Linked DNA regions of Notamacropus eugenii. The protein of the gene in region 1 purifies or fractionates together with the protein of each later gene. This does not show direct contact. Links are inferred from orthologs where the notes say so. Each region holds a gene or a part of one and is shown on either strand. Other genes may lie near its edges. The genes, in order: NFKBIB, NFKB1 and POLR1E.

Region 1 (7,381 bases):
AGGAGGGGCTGAGAAGCAAATGTGAATGCCAGGCACCTGCCCCACCCACCCTCGCTCATCTCAGAAAACTGGGCTACGGACTGGTTCCTGCCCTTCTTGATCAGCCCCTCTCCAGGTGGTGGGGGGAGGGAGCAAGAGAGGGTCACCAAGAAAACAGACTGGGGGGGGGGTCAGAGATTTCTGCCCCACCTGCTCCCCTCTCCCCCAACGTAAATAAAGCACAGATAAAAGCATGCCTTTCCTCCCATTGGTCTGTTTCTGAATTCAGATGCTCTGGCCCCAACAGATCCCTGGACACTCCAGCCAGGGGAATGAGAGTTTTATTGAAATTAAAGCTTTTCTACAAAAAAAAAAAAAAAAAAGCAAAGAAATTGGCTAGAGATAGCCAGCAGGTGAGGAAGGTGTGCCTCAGTTTCCACTTCAGCTTCCGTGGACCACGATGTCATCATACTCATCCTAGAGGATAGTGGAGTCAGGAATTGATTCTCCTTCATCCTGGGCCTCCCCCCAAGTTCCCCATCTCCCATCAACCCTCCCCTTCTGGAACGATCAGTTACCAGACCACCCTTCCCCAGTGCTCTCTCTTCTTCCATCCCATTCATCCAAGTTTCTCACTGGCTGAACTCCCCCAGGTCACTTACACCTTCATCAGTATCGCTGCCTCTCGGGCTGGAGTCTTCCTCTTCCTCAGACTCAGGTTCCGGGGCTCCATGAGCACGCAGGAGACGGGCGAGGAGGGGGTCTGACCTCAGCGTGGCACTACCCAGCGGGGTACGGCCTCCATACATTTGGGCCTTGGGGTCTGCGCCGCCATCCAAGAGTAGCTCCAGGACCTCAGCTGCCTCTGCCTCCACAGCCAGGTGGAGGGGACTCCGCCCACACGTGGGCTCCTGATTGGGAAAGAGAGTGCATGTAAAGGACATGTCCCCCCTTTCTGGAGCCCCAGCCCCCACCCCCTCATCTATCCCTAGTCACTACTGCTGACAACAGTCTCTTCCTAGAGGTTAGGCCTGTCCCCCATTTGAAGGACCTGGTATCTTCATGCCTAACTCACCTTGTTTTTCAGACCATGTATGATCTGAAGGGGACCCCGCTTGTCTCAAAGAAGCCCCTCTGCCCACTGTGGGTCGATGTCTGTTTTATAGCTCCCTCTCAGAGGAAAGCAGTAATCTCCCTCATTTAGACTCCCCCAATCTAGAGAAAGGAGCTGGGGGTGCGGAAAAGAATCTCACAGAACAGATACATGGAAGGAGGGGAACAGCAGCATGGGAAAAGGGAGGAGGGCCTGGGAGTTGAGGGCAGACAGGGTTCTGTATCCTTACTGGTTTGTTGAGATCTGCCCCTGCTTCCCGGAGCAGCTGAACCATCTCTGTGTCCCTGTGGATCACAGCCACATGGAGCGGAGTGTGGCCTGTGGAGTTATTTTAGAGAAACAAAGATTTAGAAGGCCTTTAGGGAATACATTTAGAAAGCATTTAAGGCAAATGAGCATACTCAAAGGAAATGGGAGAATATGCATTTAGTGGGGATCTGGCCCTAAGTTCAAATCCAGCCTCAGACACTCACTTGCCTGTGTGGACTGTCCCTGGGCTAGTTCCTGAACTCATTTGTCTCATCTGTAAAACGGGGAAAGCAGGGGAAAGTGATGACACCTACTCCACTGGGTTGTTGGGAAGATCAAATCAGATAATGCTGGGAAAGCCCTTGGCACAGTGCCAGAGGCAGAGTCACTCCTATGTCCACGTAGCCATGGCTACTGTTTGCATCCCCCTTGTTGGGAGATGCTTCCAGCCCCCAGGAATCAGGCTGCGTCCATGACAGTGGGGAGAAGCATTGGCTGGGCCATACCCTGGTAGTTGGTGCACTCCAGCTGCTCCCGTCTCTCCTGCTCCTCCTCCTCCTCCTGGGCTGTCTGGCCCTCAAGGGGCCCCAAAAGGGCCCGGGCACAGGCATGAGCCCCAGCCCTGCAGGCCAGGTGCAGGGGCGTGTGCCCACCTCGCTCTGCCACACAGAGCCCGGCCCCTGCGGCCCGCAGCTTCTGAGTGAGGGCTGCCTCCCCCAGAATGGCCGCTATGTGCAGAGCCGTCTGTGGACAGAGGAACACAAGTGCAAGCAGAAGCCAGTCAGTCCTGGGGGTGGGGGGTTGGGAGGGCCTCTTCCTGGCCCTGCCGGCCCCATCCACAGGTAGGGGAAGGACCTCACCTGGCCCAGGTCATTCTGGAGATCCAGGTATTCAGTACCTGCCGTGAAGTGAAGCAGGAAGTCCAGGAAGGCTTCGTGCTGGTGAATCACTGCCAAGTGCAAGGCCCTGGGCAGGGGGGACACAGAGGGTCAGGGAGGTGGGGGTCGGGCCACCTTCGAGGCCCCGTTGCGGGGCAGCAGGGGAGAAGGAAATTAAGCTCCCTAAAAGAGTCACCGTTCAAAGGGAAAAGAAGGGGGTCAGGCGGGGTCAGGGGTCAGAGGCCAGGAGGTTTGGAGAGGGACAGAATGTAGGAGCAGGAAAACTAATCCAAGCCATAACTCAACGTCCCCTGTCCCAGGTGATGGCCTGAGGACCCCCGGGGCCTCCTAGCCCTGCCTTCACACCTCCCCTCCCTCCCTCGGTTTCCCCTCCGGTAAGGGGCGGGGATCCCCCCTCCACCTTTCCACGACCCTGGGAAGGGGAGAGCCTTGGGGGCAGGGGCAGGGGCAGCGGGCCGGCCCCTTACGTGTCCCCGTCGTCCGTCACGTAGCCGAACACCTCGGGCGCCCAGCTAGCTGGCTCTTCGTCCTCGTCCTCCTCCGTCCTGTCCCGCGGCCCGTCCGCCGGGGGCCCGAGCCCATCGGGCCCTAGAGACCCGAGCCCGCTGTCGCACCACTCCTCCGCGAGCCCGCTGTCCCCGGACTTCACGGGCCCCGCCGGGGCCGCCATGGCCTACGCAGAGCCCTCCCGTCCCGGGCCCCCCCGGTCCATCCAGAGTCTTGGTCGCCACAGCCGCCGGCCCGGGGATTCCGCGGACCCGGGGAATTCCCCCTGCTCCCCAACTCGCTCAGCGCTTCGACCAATCAGGGAGGGTCGCACCGCCCTTTTTAGAGATGACTGCCAATAAGATCGCGCAACCTTTCCGGCAGGGCTCCGCCCCTCGCACCAAGTTGTCCAATAGAGGCAATAGACGCATTTGGTCGGCTCGGCTCGTGTATCCGCCCTCAGTCCCGCTTTACCCGGACGGCTTCCGGCGCCAGGCACACTGGGAATCGTGGTTTCTCTGTGAGCGGTGGGTCACGCCGGCCTTCAACACGGCGGAAAGACGGCGCGGGGCATTGTGGGATTCCCGCGATGGCCACATGCTCTTCTGGGAATTGTAGTCCATAGCCCGCCCTGCCTGCCCCCGCCCCCGCCCGTGTCCTGCGCCGTCACGGGACGGAGCAGTCGGTGACAGCCCCGAGGGCCCCTGCCCGCCCCCCACGCTGCTGAACCCATCCCCGGGGCCGGGCCCATGGCCGAGGCGGACCGTGAGTCGGGGCACGGGTGGGCTCTTGGGCCGGGCCTAGGACCAGGCCCTCTGGGCGAACGGCTATGGGGACTCGCCACCCGGAAACCACCGCGTGGGGCCCCGATCTAGGGTTGCGGGGAGGAGAATGGGTTGGGCCCTGGGGGCCCCAGTCTCCGCAGCGCCGGCTAAGGCTGGTTGGGAGCCAAGATGGGGGGTCCTAATTCCTGGGGTGTCCAGTACCTAAGGGCCTCGTTTTAGGGTGGAAGGAAACAGGTGCCGCGGCTGCTGCGGGGTATGTGGTGGAGTGGATCTGGTTACCAAGGACCGTGACCTCTGGGAAGCCTGGTACCTGGTTGCTAAGGGCCCCTCTGCACCCCTGCCCGTGGCCAGTTGGGGTCCCCCTCCCCGCTTCTCGCTCCCGCCGCCGCCCCCACGCTAACGGCCTCCCACCCCCCCTCCAATGTAACCCTGTCTCCCTACCCCCCTTCCCTAGCCCCCGGTCCCCCTCAGGACGAGGCAGGGAAGGTGCAGGATGCTCAGGTGAGAGGGGGCGCCCTTGGACGTTCGTGATTGGCTGGCCGGGGAGGGGACGAGGTCTGTGATTGGCCGCTAGGGGAGGGAGAGGACGTCTATGATTGGCCCGTGAGAGGATCCGCGCCTCCCCCGCCTGCTCCCATCACTCATGGCTCTCCCCGGCTTTCCCCCAGGGAGTGGGTCGCCCCGTGTCCCAGATCCACAGGGCTTATTCACCCCGCCCCCAGCCCTGAAACAGCAGATCCGCCCGCCCATCCCCCATTCCGAGGACCCTAACCCCCTCCTTCCCCACCTACCCTTCCCTCCTTTGACCTCCTTTCCCCAAACTGTGCCCCTCCGCTTCCCTCTCTGGCTCTCCTTTCTAATGACCCACCTTCCCTCTGACCCTCTTTCCACTGACTCCCCTTTCCCAACCCTCCTCCCGTGATCGTCCTCCCCAAGCGCCAACCCTCTGGAGCCCCCCTTGACCCTCCTCCCTCTCTGGCCGTTTTCTCCCAGGACTCAGATTCAGAAACTGAGAGTGGAGCTGCATCTGGAGAGACAGAGAGTAAGTTGTCCTGGGTGGTGAACTGGGGGGGGGGACAAGACTGGCTGAAGCCTAGTTGGGACCAGTGCCTGCCCTCTTCCTGCATAACATCATCCTCTGGTCTGCCCCACAGTGGACTTTTTACGGAATCTCTTCTCCCGAACCCTGGGCCTGGGCAGCGGGAAGCGAGAAAAGTTGTTGGATGAACTTTCCTTGGAAGGGGTGACCAAGTTCATCCAGAGTGACCAATGTGAGTTCTTGCTTCTCCCCATCTCCTTTTCTTAGCTCAGGTTGTCTACAGGATGTGCCTTACCCCATCCACCCAACCTCAGCTCCCATGTCCCGGGTTGGGACCACTTCTCTCCCTCCCCTTACCCATTCCTCAGGAAACCCAGTGAGACACATCCAGACCAGGTGAGAACTCAGGACTAAAGGGTGGGACTCACCTTAGGATTCCACAGGGCCAAAGCAGTCCGGGTAGGGAAGTTGTCCTTCCAGGGAATGAGACTAGAGAAACAACCCCAAACTGCTCTGGTCTTGAGGTCTCTCCCCTCACCTTTTTTCTCTTCCAGGTCAGAATATCATCTGCATGGTAGGGGCAGGGATCTCTACATGTAAGTAGCTGCTTCCCTGTGCCCTCAGGTTCCAAACTCCCCCCAGAATGGAGAAGGGGGGCCAGATCCCCAAAGGAGCTAACCTAGGGGTTGGGATAAGGCCCCTCTCACCAGTGAGGTGGCCTCCCCCAGGGATGCCTCTTCTATTACCCTTGTCCCCAGCTGCTGGCATCCCTGACTTCCGCTCCCCGTCCACCGGCCTCTATGCCAACTTGGAGAAGTACAACCTTCCCTACCCTGAAGCCATCTTTGAGATCAGCTACTTTAAGGTAAAACTGTCATTAAGAACACCCCACTTTTCAAGTTTTCACAGACTCCTTGGAGGGAGAACCCTTCCCTTTCCTGAGCCTTCATGCTTTCAAACACTAGCAGGGCAGATCCTGCAGCTAAATCCTTCATCTTATCAAATATCACTAGTGGGCCCCCCAAATCTGGGCTGCTGATCCTGGGTAGGGGATTGTAAGGAGTGAAGGGTTCACGTATCTTCATCTGTCTTTGTCTGTTTTCCCCAGAAACACCCTGAGCCCTTCTTTGCTCTGGCCCGGGAGCTGTACCCAGGGCAATTTAAGGTGAGCTTAATCAGAGGAAAAGGAAAGGAAAGGTACACAATTGGGGGACAGAGTCAGGGCTTCCCCATCTGGGCTTGGGGGGGGTGGGCTGCTCCCCACAATGGGTGGGAGAAGAAACTGGGAAAGTCCCAGTTGTCTAACCACATCAAAGACAATGTGTGTGTACCCCTTGGCCCTCACTCCCCTCCACCCCTCTGTAGCCCACCGTGTGTCATTACTTCATGCGCCTGCTCAAGGAGAAGGGCCTACTGCTTCGCTGCTATACCCAGGTGAGGGCAGCCAGGGAAGGGGGGAGGATGAAATGCCCACACTCTACAGGCTGTGTCCTACAGAGGCAAGTCTGCCTTGCCAGACCCAGTGGGCAGCCCCCCAGATGGGCAGTGGCACCAAAAATATAATTCTTCCCCAAAATAACCACAGTGCATCATTTGACTTCATTTGTCCTTTATAAATACTTTTGAGTTTTATTTTTGGAAAGAACAAACATGTTCTATGATATCTCTGTGTTCGAACGTTAAATTGATGACTAGCCAATTCTTTCTTACCCTAGTCAGATTTTCTTTCCATCCATTCTGATGTGAACTTTCGATTTAGTTTAATTTCAATAAATAATTTTCAGACGCTGTGGCGGAAAGCTGGGTTACACACCTGGGCAAATGCACAGTTCCAATTTCAGAGCCCCTCCCCTCAGGGAGTTTCAAGTCTAGTAGGGGGATAAGGAGGAGACGCTCTAACTGACTGCTTCCTCTTCCCTCTCCCCCAGAACATCGACACACTGGAGCGGGTGGCTGGGCTGGAACCAGAGGACCTGGTTGAAGCCCATGGAACATTCTATACCTCTCACTGTATCAGCTCCCACTGCCACAAAGAGTATGACCTGGGCTGGATGAAAGGTGAGGCTTGGGTCCCTGAGGGCAGGGGGAGGGGCCCTGAGGAAGGGAATGCTACTCTCCTCCCCTGGCCTCCAATCCCATCATTCCTTACCTCATGTTTTCTCCCCCAGATAAGATCTTCTCAGAGGTGACCCCCAAGTGTGACAAATGCCAGAGTCTCGTGAAACCAGGTGAACCATGGGAAAGGGAAGAGGGGGCCTTGAAGGAGGTCAACAGTCACGGGAAACAGCAAAAATATCCCTTCCCTCCCTAGATCAAGTTCGAGAGCTCTTGACTGGTCAGGGCTCAGGAGCCCCTGGCTGTCATCCCCTTGCTCTCCTTCTGGCACCTGGGGACCAACCCCCTCCCCTGTCTCCCTAATCTTAGGTTCTTTCTCTTTCTGTCTTTGTCTCTCTGTCTGTACCTCCCCTCTCTCCCATCTTCCTCTCCTTGTCCTTCTGTCTCTGTCTTTCCATCTCTGTCTCTCCTCCATCTGTCTGTCCTCCATCTCTCTCTCCTCTGTCTGTCTCTCCTCCATCTGTCTCTCTCTGTCTCTGTCTCTCCTCCATCTCTCTCTCTTCCATCTGTCTCTCCTCTGTCTGTCTCTCCTCCATCTGTCTCTCCTCTGTCTCTGTCTCTCCATCTCTGTCTCTCCTCCATCTGTCTCTCCTCTGTCTCTGTCTCTCCATCTCTGTCTCTCCTCCGTCTGTCTCTCCTCTGTCTGTCTCTCCTCCGTTTCTGTCTCTCGGTCTCTCCTCCATCTCTCTCTCTCCTCCGTCTGTCTCTCCTCCGT
Region 2 (7,299 bases), on another chromosome or scaffold:
GGCTGCTTTGGCTTGTGGTAAATACTTGGGCAGAGTAATTCACATGTAAAAAGTGATTTAAAAAACAAAACAGATATTTAAAAAAACAAAAGATGAAAGTTTTGGAAGTAACCTTAACAATACAGAAGTAGAGAAAACAATCAGAGAAGAGTAAAACCTCAGTTCTAGCTCTGCCTTTCATTTGCCATGAGCTTAGACAAATCACAACCTACGTGGACCTCACTTTTCTCATCTGTAAAATGAGAGGGTTAGACGATATGATTTCTAAGGTCCCTTCCAGCTATAACATCTGTGATTTCTGTCTCCAAAAATGATTCTGAGGATAAAAAACATTTTTAAAAGACGTTACCAAAGATTTTTGCTAAGAACTCAGAACTCACATTATTTTAGTCACGATTTAAATAAATGCTTTTTCATTCATTCATTGCATTTGTATACTTGTTGAAGGTAGACCTTCTTTCATATGAAACTGTCTTTCTGACTGAAGCTCTCCATAGTTCAGGTGGACATTTTGCCAAATAAATTTGAGTTGAAGGTCTATCAATATTGAGTAGATAATTATAAATAAAATCTATTTGACTGAGCATTTCAAGAAAAGTCTCTTCCCAGTACATACGTTCTTTGCATTTCAGCAATTCAGTTGTATGTACTCATGAAAAACAAACATAACATATAATCAATTTCTCTTCCAAAATTCTTTCTTTCCAAACACACTAGGCTCAAGTTAATTATTCAACTCTATATCAGAGTACATATAGAGTAGACATTATAGAGAAGACAGTTTAAACAATTCAACTGGTCTGGAATTGGGCAGCTACCTCATCATTTACCACCAAGCTGTTCTCCTGGACTTCATCATCATTTCCAGGAACTCATTTTCAGGAAAGATGGAATCAACTCTGAAGCTCAAGTCTTCTGAAATAACCCCAAGTCCAGGAGGGGTTCTAACTGCTGAAGGTAGAGGACGGACATAGAAGACCTCCTCCCAGATCCTCCCCCACTGCCCAGGGCACCACCATGCTTCAGAACGCCCTGCCTCACCATACCCTCCAATTTTCAGCTTCTATTTAAGTATTATTTTCTCCATTATATTGTGAGCTCCTTGAAGGGAATGACTATCTTTCTGTCTTAAGAGGCTGACATATGCGGTAGGTACTTTAAAAATAACTAACTTCAAATAACAGGATGTGAAGAATTGTAAAATTAAGTCTTAACAACATACTTCAGCTGAGTCCTTGCATTCTGATCAAGTTTTCATTCTAAAGGACAAACAGGCAAACAACAGTGTCTTACTCAGGAAGTTCAGTAACTACCAAAAGTAACAATGTTACACCAACTGGGAGTACCTTGCTTCCCAAACAGTGGGGAAGAGCAGGCTTCTGAGAAGATCACTGGCTTATTCTAATATAGTAAATGATTCAACTGCCACCTTCATGTTATATTCCTAGACTTACCATAGGAAATAGACCAAGATTTGGAATCAGCTAATTTGATATAAATCCATTAATTGAACTTAAGCCCTAAACTGGTAGTTTCTATTGAACCTTCAAGATACTCTAAAAACAAACGAACAACTAGATTTGATATCCAGGCTATTTCAAATGTGAAACAGAACACTCAGAGTGCAAATTAATTTCACTATAAAAAGATCATACTTGAGAGACGAGTCTTAAACCTTTAATAACTTAAACTATCGTTATGCAGCGTTAGCTTAAATTATGGTTATTAAAAGTTATAACTGCACTCCGATTTTGGGGACACCCTGCATATATGCCAGCACCACCATGATTTTTTTGGATGACGAACTAACCATCGGACTCAGCACTTGATTTAGAGAGTTTACTAAGAACCCCCACTCCCTCCTTTTTTTCAGAATGCCTTTCGGGGGGTCTTGGAATGCCCCTATGGACTTAATATTTCTGAAAAGATAACCAGAGATCCCGATCAAGAATGGGCCCATTTTCAGTTAGAGGATGGCAGATAGTTAAGACTTGGAAACTAGAGGGTTTTCAAATAAAGAAAATCGGTAGCCTTCATTTCGTAAAACGTCCTTGGATAGAAATCAGATTCAGCACTTCACTCAAAATACCCTCCCCCCCCATACACACAAACGTACGCCCTTAGTCATTCCCTTCCCTCCAGACTAAACCTCCCCAAAAGAAAAATTAAGTCTCCTCAGCAGTCCAAGACGCCCAGATATTTTCATCTTTTCGAAAGGTTGGAGGAGGTGAAATGGGTTGGGGGAAAAAATACAATTGACCAAACCACATGGCCCCGGGCTCCCCTGAGCCGATTTGCACCACCCCCAGTCCCTGACTGCCTTTTTCCTCCTCTTTCACCAATCCCTTGCACCTCGCAACTGGTGTCAACCTCCTCCAGCGGGTCGGGCAGGAATGAGGAAGTCTAGACTCGGGGGGATGGCGGGGTGGGGATCGGCCAGTGTGGGGGGACTCGCACTTACTTGTCTGCCCCTTCCCTCCAGGAAGAGCCTCCCCGCTCCCTCGGCCCCAACTTTGGTCTTACCCTTTGGGGGAGCTGCTGTCCAGGGCCTCCCAGCTCGTCCTGGCTCCCCGCTCGGATCCGGTGAGCAGCAGTGGGGGGCTGGCCGGAGGAGGCAGAGGAGGCAGAGGAGGCGGCGGGCTGCGCGCGTGGGTCAGCCCCGCGGAGCCTAGCAGCGGGCAGCACAGCGCATGGCCCGCAGCCCGGGCCGGGGAGGCTAGGGGTGCCGCAACCCGAGCGCCCTGGCCCGTCCCGGCTCGCTCACTCGTGCGCTGTCCCCGGAGCAGCTCGGGCGGCCGACTGGACGGCGGGCGGGCGGGACCGAGCGACGGGAAGGGGAAAGGGGGAAGCTGTCAGCGCGTCCCCTGGCCCTCGGGTGGCGAAACCTCCCCTTCCTGCTCGCAGCTGCCGGGCGCACTTCTCTCTCTTTCTCTCGTTCACTCTCTCACTTCCTGGCTGGAAATTCCCACTGACGTTGAGCCGGAGAGAGCGAGCAAGGCCAGACGCGTACACACACTCACACACTTGCACACACACTCCCAGTCCGGGGGCGGGGGAAGCCCGATCTCCTGGGGGGCAGGGCTGGAGACTGGGGACCGGGGTCGCCTCGGCGCCCCTCTCCGGCCTCCGCTCCTACACCCCTTGCCCGGAGCGCAACGTCAGGGACGGGAGGAGGGACTTGGACTCGGCGGCGCGCGCCTTGTTCCGATCCCTTGGCCTCGTCTGCTGGAGCCGGCGCTTGGAGGCCCCGGGCCAGCTGCGGGGCTGGGATCCCGCGGCTCAGGCTGCGGTACCTGGGCGGGGTCCGCTGAGCACCTGCTGGGAGACCCCGGGGATCGAGGAAGGGTCCCCCACGCTTACGTTATTACTGTGGTTGTGCGCGGTGGCTGAGCAAGCCTGACTCGATTTCAAATCGTCCCCAAGTCTGCCTCAGTTTCTACATCTGTAACAATAGCGCCTACCTGCAACGGTGCTTGTTAGGATCAAATAATATATGTGTAAAGCGTTTTATTAACTGTAAAGCCCTATATAAACATAAAATGACATAGAAATATAAAATTAAATATAAAACTATTATTTTTAATAATAATTCACTTTATAACAAATAGAGGATTTGAATCTTCTGTTTGTGACCTCTCCCTCAAAAAAGATTCTTCACCTTAAATTCTGTCTGTAATGATTCCCCTATTGGGATGTTTATTAAAAGCATGTATTAAAAACCTCAACCTAGGGCTTTGACACGCTGCTTTCCTACACAAACATTGCCTCATTCAAGCCTGAAGCCCCAGGAGGTGATGTGAATAGTGTTTCTCCTACTATACAGATAAGCAAACTGAGGCTCAGAGAGATAGTTTCTTGCCCAAAGTCTCGTAAGTGGTAAGCATTTTGGGTTCCAAACCCAGTTCTATCACCACTCTACCATTATGCCTTCTCAATAGTCACAGCGTGTTAGATGACCAGCCCAGACCTCCTTTTTCTGAGGATGTGTAGGACTCTTGATACCTGAAAGGGGCTGCAGAAGCAGCAGAGTACAATACCTTTATACAATACCTGGTGCTGTGAAGATCCAATGAAATTATGATGTAATATGAGGCTTAAGTTTTATGTATAAATGTGATTTGCCATTTAGTCCCCGGAAGGTGCCATTTGCCTAGTGTCACACAAATAGCATAAGTAATAAAAGGGGATTCGAACCCAGGTCTTCCTATCCGGAGCAAGTGATCTTTGAGATTCTTCGGTGGCCTCTTTTGCAAATGATCAGACGCATTATGCTATATAACCTAAATATACCTGCCATGCATTTCTTCAATATCCTTTGCATGAACTCATATTTTAGAGAGGCAGTATGCTTCATGTGTACTACCAAATGTTGGGACTTAGCTAGAGGAGGCCTGAAATACTTCGGGTGGTCCTTCTGCAGGGGGGCCTTTGGCAAAGCCTGGGAAAAAGTCAGTCCAGGTGAGATGTGGATAGTGGATGGGGAGATCACAGATTCATTGACGAATAATAGCCTAACTCTTGGTGGAGTTGTGAACTGATCCAGCCATTCTGGACAACAGACCAAAAAGTTATAAAACTATGTCTATCCTTTGATCAAGCAATACCCCTACTGGGTCTGTATCCTGAAGAGATCAAAGAAAAAGGAAAAGGACCTTTATGGACAAAATTATTTATAGCAGCTCTTATGTGGTGGCCGAGAAGTGGAAACTGAAGTGATGCCCATCAGTTGGGGAATGGCTGAACAAGTTGTGGTATGATTGTGATAAAATACTATTATACTATGAGAAATGAAGAGCAGGATTATTTCAGAAAAATCTGAAAGAGGTATATGAACTGATGCAAAGTGAAGTGAACAGAACTAGGAGAAAATCATACATGGTAACAACAGTATTGTATGATGATCAACTCTGAATGACTTAGCTATCCTCAGCAATGCAATGATCCAAGACAATTCTGAAGGACTTAGGACAAAAAATGCTATCCACCTCCAGAGAAAGAGCTACTGGAGTTCGAATACAGATCAAAGCACACTTTTTTAAAAAACTTGAGTTTTAAAATTTTTTAAGACTTAGGTTTTTTCCTTGCCTTCTTTGGAACATAGCTAATATGGAAATATATTTTGCATGACTGCACATGTATAATCTATAGTAAATTGCTTGCTTTCTAAAGGAGGAGGGAAAGGAGGGAGAGAAAGAATTTTTAACTCAATTTTTTAAAATGAATATTAAAAATTATTTTTATCTGTAATTCAAAATAAAACAAAAGAACTATAATTGTCATCATCCCTAGAAAAGCTATCCTAGCAAGAAACAGAGATCATAGATTTTTTTTTTCCTAACCAGGCTTCTAGAATTCATACAAGAAGTCTTCCCGCTTCCCTCTTAATGCTACCTTCACCCTTGCTCCACTCCACCAACACAGAAAGAAGAGTTCATTTGGTACCATGTCTTTTTAACCAATCTAGTCATCATAAGGCAATGATGACCAAGATCTAAATGACTGGACTGGTAGCAGTTCCCTCTTGTGGAAAGATCTTGGCAAAGAGGCCTGGAAATTAAGGACTTCTTGGGATTTAATTCTGACTCTCATTTTCTGATTCCCACTCTAACAAAGTGATTAGCTCTCTGTGACTCCTGAATCTCAAATACACCCAGGACTGCTTCTGATTGTTACAGCTGAAGGAGGGGGCTGGAAGATGAAGCTTCCCAAAACAGAACATTTCATGGAAAAGTGAGGGAAGGGAGTTGAAGGTAAGAGGAGGTTTTATGGCAGCTGAGGGAAAAGATAAGTTTAGTTTATTTGTGTTTGAGGGATGAATGTAACCGCACAAGGACCAAACATTTAAATTTTATAAATGTGTTGTCCCACTTTTGAGTTCTATAAAGTTTATGACTCAAATGTTATTTCCTCTACAAAGTTTTCTTTGATTCCACCAAGTCAGTAAGGACTATTCCTCATTTCCAGGACTTTACCAATCACTTTGTTTTACACAAATTTGATGCCCTTGTTACTTATTGTTTTGTATTATACCTATCTGTGTACTAGTCATGCCTCCCTACCAAAACTGTGGATTTCATGAGAACAAGGACTGTGTCTTATCTAAACTGTATCTCCTTCATTGCCCAGTGTGGGGCTTTTAAACTTGTTGCATTGAAGAACTCTACTCATTTTATTCTCAGGAAAAGTTCTACTTCTAAGGAAATTGCTTAATATTTGTGTAAATCCCCATGGGAGAAAATAACCTTCTCTTATGGGTTGATAGAAAGCATGTTGTTATTAATATATTCATGAAGTCTTTTTTCTATCATAAGCTTACTCATGAAATGTCACCCTTCTGGGGTTAGGGAGGGGAGAGGTGGGAAGGGCACCAAAAGATGAGTCATGAAAAAGAACCTGGGGAAGTAGGTGGGGCTTATAGATGACAGAAGGTGGATTTAGTCCTTGGATTCAAAGTATAGTAGCCACTTTTTCTGTACTAAGGTGTTTAGAGCATGTTGCATCCTTCAGAACAGGAACAGACTTGGTTAGAACTTTAAGATTGGGAAGAGGTAGAGGAGTCTGTTTTTAATATCAACATGACCCAAACTGAACTCTTTACCTTTTCCCAACTACTCCTCCCAGTCCCTCAGGCTCACAGCCTAGGGGTATAATCCCTCACTCTTCGCTCTCTCTCATCCCCTCCCCCCCGCTATATCAAATCGGTTCTCGAGTCCTTTCAATTTTCCCATCTCTCATATATGTCCCCTTTCTCTCTTCTGATCACTCTGGTGTAGGCTTTTTTCAGCCCACACCCAGACCTGTAAGAGCCTGCTGGTTGGTCTCTCATCAGTACAGTCCATCCTCCACTTAGCTGTCAAACTATCCTAAAGAGTAGGTCTGACCACATCCCACCCCTTTCAATAAATAACAGTGACCCCCTGTCAAATAGAAGAAGCCCTGTTTGGCATTCAGATCCCTTCACCACCTCTTGCCTCTCTAGTCTTCTTACAAGCTGATTCTCACTCACATAATCTTTGATCCAGTGACACTGACCACCTTGCTCTTCCATGAGCAAGGCACTCCATCTCTCAACTCTATGTATTTCACTGGTTATCTTCTGTCCGGGACTCTGTCCCTCGTCCCCTCTTGCCTCCTGGCTTCCTTCAAGTCTCAGCTATAAAAACACTTTCTCCAAGAAGCCTTTCTAGATTCCCCTTAATTCTAGTGCCTATCACCTATTTGAGTATCTCTAATTTATCCTGTATATATCTTCATGTATTTATCCTGTTTATATCTTCATGTTGCCTCTCCTATTATACA
Region 3 (8,072 bases), on another chromosome or scaffold:
TTATTATCCTACCTCTCATCACTTCATTCTGCATCACACATATTGATACCAATCTTCCCATACTTCTGTGTATTAGCTATTTGCAGCAATCTTTTTGTGCTAAAAACGGAAACAGAGTAGACACCTACATAAAGAGAGTGACTGAACAAAGTGTATATGAATGTAATGGAATAATAGTGTGCTGTAAGAAATAATGATTTTGAAGAAGTCAGAGGAACTTGGGAAAACAGCATGGAACAGTGGATAGGACAACGAACTCAGTTAAGAAAGGCGGGTTCAAATCCCACCTTAGACACTTATTCTATCTGACTCTACCTACCCTCTTTATACCTCAGTTTCCTTATCTGCACAAGGGGGTTAAACATGATGGCTGTTAAGGTTTTCTTATGGGTCTAAATCTATGACCCTATAACTTGAAGAAAGCCAAGAGAACAATTTAGATGATGACCACGGTAACATAAAGGAAAGCACCCCTAAAGACATCAGAACTCTTCTTCCTCGTAGCAGAGAGGGGATGGGCTACAGATCTGGATGCAGAACCAGGCGTCTGTAATCAAGGACTGAGAACTGGAAGGGAACTGCTTCATCCAACCCTCTCATTTCATAGAGAGGTGGACTTGCCCAGAATCATAGTGGTAATAAGTGACAGGGCTGGAATGTGAACCCAAGGCTTTTAAAATGCTGCACTTTTTCCATAGTGTGTGCCTGATTTGTTGATCTGATTTGTTTAACTATACTTGTTAGTGGAAAGATAAATCATTGAAAAGTGAAACATATCAAAAGCATCAACAAAATATTTATTTTTAAAATATCTGGGGATGAATGTAAAATTTTTAAAAAATCCTGTAGTACAGGATTGGAGAGCTGTGGATAAATAACAATTTCTACGAACGAGGCATCTGCTGACTACAACCTCAATTATGTCAATAACATATGACATGGTTACAATAAAAGGATCTTAGACTGTATTAACAGAAGTTAATAATCTCACTATAGTCTGTATTGATCAGAGCATGTTTGGAATTTAACTTCATTCAGTTCCAGGCAAACACTGTATGAGGGACACTGACAAACGAAAGTACATTGAGAAGGGGGGCAGAGACAATGATCAAAGAACAAAGTTATGAAAATCAACTGAAGGAACTGAAGATACTGAATTGGGGGAAAGACAGGGAAATAAGAGCTGTCTTCAATATGTGAAGGACTTTCATGTGAAAAGGGACTAAGATTCACTCTCCTTGGCCCCTGAGCAGAACCAGGACCACAGGACACAGGCAGGTTTCAGTTCAAGTAAAGACCCCTGCTAGTTTTCTTTAAAGCTCAGCTCAGAAGCCACTTCCACAGGGCCTTTCTTGCTCTTCAGATGTTGGGGCATCCTCTCTCACCCCCCAAATGACTACGAACACACTTATATGCGTACACGAGGTCTCCTCTGACGGTATTTAGTGCCTTCTAAAATCAGAGGCTGCTTCACTTTTACCTCTGCACCCCTAGCACCCAGCAGACCCAAGCACAGCATGTACCTGACTGGGACTTAAACAGCTTAGGAGCATTTTAATCAGCTCTGCCCGGTCCCCATGAGGCAAAGCTGTTCTCATTCTGGGTCAGCGCCCGCTTCCAGGCACACACCACCTTGTAAAAAAAGACAAAACTACTGAGGGACTCACCAAAATCCTCCTGAACTTCTTCCTGGGGTTGGTGGTGTCTTTGCTCTTGTACAAGGAAAAATTCACATTCTCAGCGTTGTGGAGTTTCCCATTGGAAAACTGAACTGCAATAAATGCACAGAAAATGATCAACGAAGTGGCGCTGAATGCAGAGTGGACTTCTAAAAGAGTTCCATTAATGTAATTAATAAAAACAGGAAAGCCCTTCAATCCCCAGTTCTGGGCTACAGTATCTACGAACGTCACAGAAAGCGAATCCTACCAGACCCTTCCTATGTGAGAGGTAACAAGAGAGGACGCTGGCTTTGGCTACAGAGTGAGAAGAGGATGGAGACCAAGGACTAGGGGCAAGCACAGTCATTTTAGAATATTTCCCTGGGTCCTGAGGGAGAGACCGAGGGAAGTCTGGGGACAAACAAGTGCTCTGATGGAGGACAGCTAGACAGGAGAAAGGCCAGCCAGCGCATGGGGACTAAGGGCAGGAGGGGGCACTGCAGGGGGCATCGGGTCACACGGACCCCCGAGGACAGCCTCCCTGACCGGCGCGCGGACAGACTGTAAGGCACGACCTGAAGGAGCTGTAGGTGTACTGTGCGTTTTACAGAGACGGTGTATCCACAGTGAGAAGGGGGGTGGAGAGGGAAGAGAGTTGCCCGTACGCAAACACTGGTGCATCTGCCGGGTGCGCTGAGACGGGCCCCGGGAGAGCTTCTGATGCCCGATGAAGTGGGGAGTGGGCTGTGCTCGTCCTTCGTGGCCTGACCCGCCCTTGACCCTGCTCTGAGGGGGAGGGCCGGCCGCTCACCAGCCTCACCCCCTCCACAGCCGTCCGGGCCGGTGGGCTGGTCATCCTCAGGACGCCTGGAGCCGGCCCGGCATGCACCGGGAGGCCCTGCCCTTTCACGAAGGCCCTTCGGCGGCTTGTCCGGGCGCTCGAGGCCCTCACCACCCAGCGCCTCCTGGACATGTAGGGAGCACGGAGGCCGGCGCTGGGCGAGAGCTGGTCTAAGTCATGCCTCTGGCACTACAAGCGCCGGTCCCGACGCGGGCGCGCACGGTCCTCACAGCCCCTAAGGGAGGGGGTAAAGCTGCTCTGCCGCCCCCGGCCTTACCCAGAGCAGCCTTCTGCCCTTCGCCCGGCTCCCCGCAGTACTGCCACGTTGCAAACGCAGACATGGCCGGAGCAGATCCCCCGGAACCCACGGCCACGGCTCGGTCCGCGCTCCACGGAGCTCACATGTGGAGCTTCCAGTCACCAAGCTCCCCAATCCCGCTTCCACCGGAAGAGGCGGGGCCGCGGGGCCGGAAGAACCGCCCTACCCGGGCCTTCCCCAATCCCCGCCTCCTGAAGACCTGTCGATTTAGCCTCCGCTTCTCAGCTGATTGGTTGTCTCCTCAGAAGCACCGCCTCCTAACGCCTACTGGCTGGTCTCTCCTCAATCCAGCTTCCTACGGCTGTCCGGTTCAGTCCCTCCTCCCAAGCCCCGCCCATTGAAGCCTCGGGTTCGTCATCGCCCTCTAAGCTCCGCCCCCTGAAGCCGTCGGCTCCTCCCCTTGTCCAAGCTAGTGGCTGGGCGGTCCGAGCGTCTTCGCACGCCTGGTCCGGGTCTGTTAGCTTCCACCTGCCTCAGTTTCCCTATCTGTATAATGTGGATGATAACAATAGCGTCTAGTGCTTCCTAAATGCTCCTTCTTCTTACCAGTCCCCCATGCCTCCAACACACCGTGAGCTGGAGCTGATGACAGCCCAGGTGAAGGCTGGAGCTCCTATGAGGACCATGAGGATCACTGGGGGCTGCGGACTCAATGGGCAAACAGCATCTGTCCAAGGTGCTGACAGTGATGGGGACCTCCTGACTGCAGGTCCGTACCCCCTCTGCTCTCAGGAGGGGCTGGGCAAAAATCCACTTGGTGACTTTTCAGCGTGAGCTTCACTTTCTTGTCTGGTTAGAAAAAACAAAACAAAGTGTCTTAAACAAATCACTCAGGACAGGGGTGGGAGGAGTGGAAGAAACAAATTAAATCATTCCTAAGAACGGGTGGATCAGAGAATGAATCCAAGAAACAACAGGCAATTTCATCAGAGAGAATGACAGGAACAAAAGGTTTGGGATGTAACTAAAGCAGGACTCCATAGTAAATTTATATCTAAGTCCAAAAATTAAGGAAAGACAAAGCATAGGTTGGTAAGGGGACGACTGAAAAGTAAAGAGCTAAATAACAAAGCAAATCCTGAAAATCAAAGAGCTGAACAACATGGAAAGAAGAAAAACCACCAAACCGATCGATGAAATTAGGAGCTGTTTGTAATAATAATTACAAAGTTAACTAGTTCCATTTGAAAAGAAAAAACAAAGTGCCAGCATCAAAAATGAAAAGAATTTATAAAAAATTAAGATAAAGGAAGCTATCAAAGTATTTTGTCCAATTATGGGGTCAACAGACAAATTAAATAGAAAACATTTATTAAAAAATTTAAATACTCGTTAAAAGAAGGTAACCAAGAACTTAACACATCAGAAAAAATAAATTGGACAAGCCATAAATGAACTCAAGAAACTCCTCCCGTTACTATATGTATTTACAAGTGAATTGTATCAAACATTCAAAGAATAGTTAATTCCTGTATTATATAATGTTTTTTGCAAAAAAATTGGAAATCACGTTTACTACCAAACTTTTTCTATTATTACTAATATAGTCTTGATACCTAAATCAAGAAGAGACAAAAAAGAGAGAAAACGATATAGGCTAATATCCTTAACAAATATTGATACAAAATATTAAATAAAATATCAAAGAGGCTACAATAGTATATTAAATAGATTAGATACTTGTCCAAGTTAGATTTATACCATGACTATAGGGGAGGTTCAATATTAGGAATAACATAGTTTATAATAGCTCGTATAAATAAAAATTAGTTATACCAATATGTTCTGAGAAAGTTTTTGACAAAATTCAAAGTCTATTAAAGAACAAACAGCCTCACGTATTAAAAATCACAGAAATAAATGTATCTTTCCTTAAGATAGCAAATAGTTTCTTATGTAAAACAAAGAGCCAACATTATAAGTAGTGAAGAAATTCGATAGTCCTTTACAAATAAGATCAGAGGTAAAGCACAAATGTCCAGAGACAACACTGTCATTTAATAGAGTGTCAGAAATGCTAACTATAGTGAAAACAAGAAAAAGAAATTGAGGGAAGGAACCTAGACAAATAAGAAGTTTTTGCAGAGGTATGATGCTCTATTTAGAGAACTCTAAAAGAATCAAATAAAACATTAATTGAAACAGTAATATTTTCTTGTACACCTGGCTCTGAGTGATAGGAGAGTGAGGGACACAGGAAGAAAGTGTCTGACAGTAAGCCCCAAGGGCCCTTTTCTTACAAGGTCCAAATCCAGTGGCTTTCTCTCAAACTTCTCAACTTCCTTACGGTATTTGACAATACTCACCAGCCTCTCCCAGTAAACACTCTCTCCTCTCTCAAGGTTTCTGGTACTACTCTCTCTTGCTTTTCCTCCTATCTTTTTGACTATTTCTTCTCCACTTTCTTTTCTGTATAACACTCCTTAACTATGATACTATCCTGCATTTTCTCTTTTTTCTCTGTACTTTCTCACTTGGTGACCTCATCACTGCCATGAATTTAATTATCATTTCTGTGCAGATGATTTTTATTTTTAAAATATATTTTTATTTTGTTACGCCTCCCAATTACATTTAAGATTTTAAATGTTTCTTTTACAAATACATTTTATTTCATTAAATATTTCTCAATTGCATACACAAAAATTTTGACATTCATTTTTAAAAATTTTGAGTTCTGAATTCTCTATCCCTTGAGAAAGTAAGCAATATGTTATTGATCATACATGTGAAGTCATGCAAAACATATTTCCACATTAGCCACATTGGGGAAAAAACCATACCAAAAGACAAATGAAGTGGAAAAAGGTATGCTTCAACTTATGCAGATGATTTTTAAATCTATATCCAGCACTAATCTCTTTTCTGATCTTTAAGTTGTGCATCTTTGGTTACTTATGGGAAATTTCAAACTGGCTATCCTGCAGGTATCTCAAATTCAACAAATTCCAATGAAGCTGATTCTCTTCCTCCCCCATCCCAACCACTACTCTCGGAACATCCTTATTTCTGTCAAAGGCACTATTATCTTCCCCATTAGAATGTGAGTTCCTTGAGAGCAGGAACTATCTTCCTTTTTCTGTTTCTATCCCCAGTACTTAGTGAGGTGCTTTACACATAGTAAGCATTTAACAAATGCTTATTCATTCATTGTGTCACCCAAGGTCACAACCTCAGTGCTGTCTTCCAGTTCTTACTCTCTCCACTTTATATCCAATCATTTGCCAAAATTTCTGGTTTTTACTTTCACTACATTTCTCACTTCTGTCACTTTATTTTTACTGGGGCACTGGTTCAGATTCTTGTCAACTCTTGACTGGACTATTGCAATCAACTCCATGTTGGTCTACCAGCCTCAAGCCTCTTAACCTCTCTGATCTAGCCTCTGTTCAGCTGTCAAAGTGATTTTCCTCCAGCAGGCAACTGATCATGTTACTCCTTTACTCCACAAACTTCAGGGACCTCTTATCACTTCTGAGATTAGATATAAATTTCTGTTTAGCTTTTAAAACCCTTCACAACCTGACCCCAACCTAGCTCTCCCGAATTATAATACATTACTCTCCTCATACACTCCCTCATTTCAGTCATACTCCTCCTCCAGGCCTGGAATATACTCCTTCCTCACCTCCACTTTAAAGAATATCTTGTTTCCTTCAAAAATCAACTCAAGAAGGACCTTCTACATTATACGTTTCTGATCCTCCCAACTGCTGGTATCCTTCCCAAAATTATCTTGTATTTAATTTTTATACATTTTATGCCACAGGGATTATTTGCTCTGGTTCTGTGGAAACAGACATATACTGTGACCTCTTGCTTTGCTTAAGATTGATGCATTAATTCCTTATTGGTTCCTATGACCGAGGATCATGTGAAAGAGGACTGAGAGATAAGCCAGGAAGAGCTACTCACTCTCTGGGCTAAAGGATACACGAGGAGAGGTGGCTTCCATTGAAGATAGGGAATTGGCAGAAGTTTCTTATGGAAACACAGGTTGGACAAAGGATCTCTAATGACTTCTTCCTTAACCCCATTGGTGGAACTCTTTTGTGGAGCTCCCAGGTTCTAAACCTATTGTGTAAGGTCCAATTATAAGATAATTGCTAGGTAAAAAGGGAGAGAAAAAAACAACAAAGAACAAAATCACACTGTTTCATATAAAAAAAATTGCTGCGGCCTGGCTCAATGAAACCTCACTCCAGATCAAACTTCGGATGCTGAGTTCCTGACCTAACCAGCCCTCTCCTCAAGGCTTTTATTGGGGCCTCTTCCTACAGTTGATGCCTCAATTACTTTCCATCATTTGCATAAAATTCTTTTTGATATTATGTTGTGACTCATTGCCTTCGAGTTCTCATGATTGCTGAACTCAGGTCCTTTGTAGTCAACAGCTTCAAATCCTTTTAAAAGGGACTTCTTTGCTGGAACACAACCAATTGCCAGCTCTCCCTTAGATTTCAGGAGCTAGGAAGAAGGAACGACCTTAAAAGTGGTTATGGTGGTATAACAAACATGCAACAAAGAATATGCTTGTCTGTGATTTTGAGATTGGATCTGGCTGTCTCTTCTGATTTCTGCTTTTTTTCCCTGATCACCAAATAGTGATATTAAGAGATGGATATTTCTAACTTCTTCATGAGTTTTAGAGTTTCATAATCCTTGATTTAGGTGTTCTGTTTTGTTGCTCAGAGGTAAATGATTTCCCCAGGTACATCCTTCTTAGAGGACATGCCCACAACATTGCCCTGGCTGGCCAGAATATCTGTGATTTAGTGCGGACAAAGAAACAAAGTTATTTAGTAGTTTCACAATTCTCCAAGGAATCTTCTCTACCGCCTAAGAGTATCAGATAGTGGTGATATGATATGTTATAGTTTATATTTGTCAACCTCTAATTTGTGTCTGGCCAGAGCCAAACAGAGTAGGCTAGGGATACGAAAGTCAAGAATCAAACAGAAGTTTAATTTCAAAGTGAGGGAAATGGCTTGCTAGCAAAGAGGCAGATTAGATACGTGTAAGGTCCCCATCCATAGTGGGGGGGACCCAAGGCTACACAGTGACCTATAGCCTTGACCATGAGGGGTAACAATGAGACAAGTTTGATCCATAGTAGAGCTTCATGACCAGAACATGTATAGTTGTCTGGTGTTGTTCTGTACTCAGAGAACACCTGGTGCTGGTCAAAGCAATACAATAAATCTGAGATTTTGCCAGAAGGTGCAAACTTCCAGAGGGTGAGCACCAAGGA

Evidence for each region.
Region 2: the proteins of NFKBIB (region 1) and NFKB1 purify together in Homo sapiens (affinity purification with mass spectrometry; 7 studies listed by BioGRID and IntAct, counting the BioPlex papers as one, with this or other methods). This does not show direct contact. The link is inferred for Notamacropus eugenii from reciprocal best matches to the Homo sapiens genes NFKBIB and NFKB1.
Region 3: the proteins of NFKBIB (region 1) and POLR1E purify together in Homo sapiens (affinity purification with mass spectrometry; 3 studies listed by BioGRID and IntAct, counting the BioPlex papers as one, with this or other methods). This does not show direct contact. The link is inferred for Notamacropus eugenii from reciprocal best matches to the Homo sapiens genes NFKBIB and POLR1E.

What each region holds. Positions count from the first base shown.
Region 1 is NC_092876.1:32,023,374-32,030,754, reverse strand, and holds NFKBIB (NF-kappa-B inhibitor beta), read right to left. Parts: upstream 3,050-7,381; 5' UTR 2,912-3,049; coding exon 2,709-2,911; intron 2,309-2,708; coding exon 2,203-2,308; intron 2,087-2,202; coding exon 1,849-2,086; intron 1,412-1,848; coding exon 1,323-1,411; intron 891-1,322; coding exon 642-890; intron 457-641; coding exon 421-456; 3' UTR 304-420; downstream 1-303. Other genes in the region: CCER2 (coiled-coil domain-containing glutamate-rich protein 2), read left to right, coding at 1-12; SIRT2 (NAD-dependent protein deacetylase sirtuin-2), read left to right, coding at 3,477-3,492, 3,967-4,013, 4,506-4,554, 4,667-4,783, 5,106-5,147, 5,310-5,416, 5,660-5,716, 5,917-5,985 and 2 more. UniProt on the Homo sapiens protein: Inhibits NF-kappa-B by complexing with and trapping it in the cytoplasm.
Region 2 is NC_092878.1:140,834,895-140,842,193, reverse strand, and holds the start of NFKB1 (nuclear factor NF-kappa-B p105 subunit), read right to left. Parts: upstream 3,023-7,299; 5' UTR 2,524-3,022; intron 1-2,523.
Region 3 is NC_092874.1:316,992,036-317,000,107, forward strand, and holds the start of POLR1E (DNA-directed RNA polymerase I subunit RPA49), read right to left. Parts: upstream 3,053-8,072; 5' UTR 2,844-3,052; coding exon 2,780-2,843; intron 1,772-2,779; coding exon 1,668-1,771; intron 1-1,667. UniProt on the Homo sapiens protein: Component of RNA polymerase I (Pol I), a DNA-dependent RNA polymerase which synthesizes ribosomal RNA precursors using the four ribonucleoside triphosphates as substrates.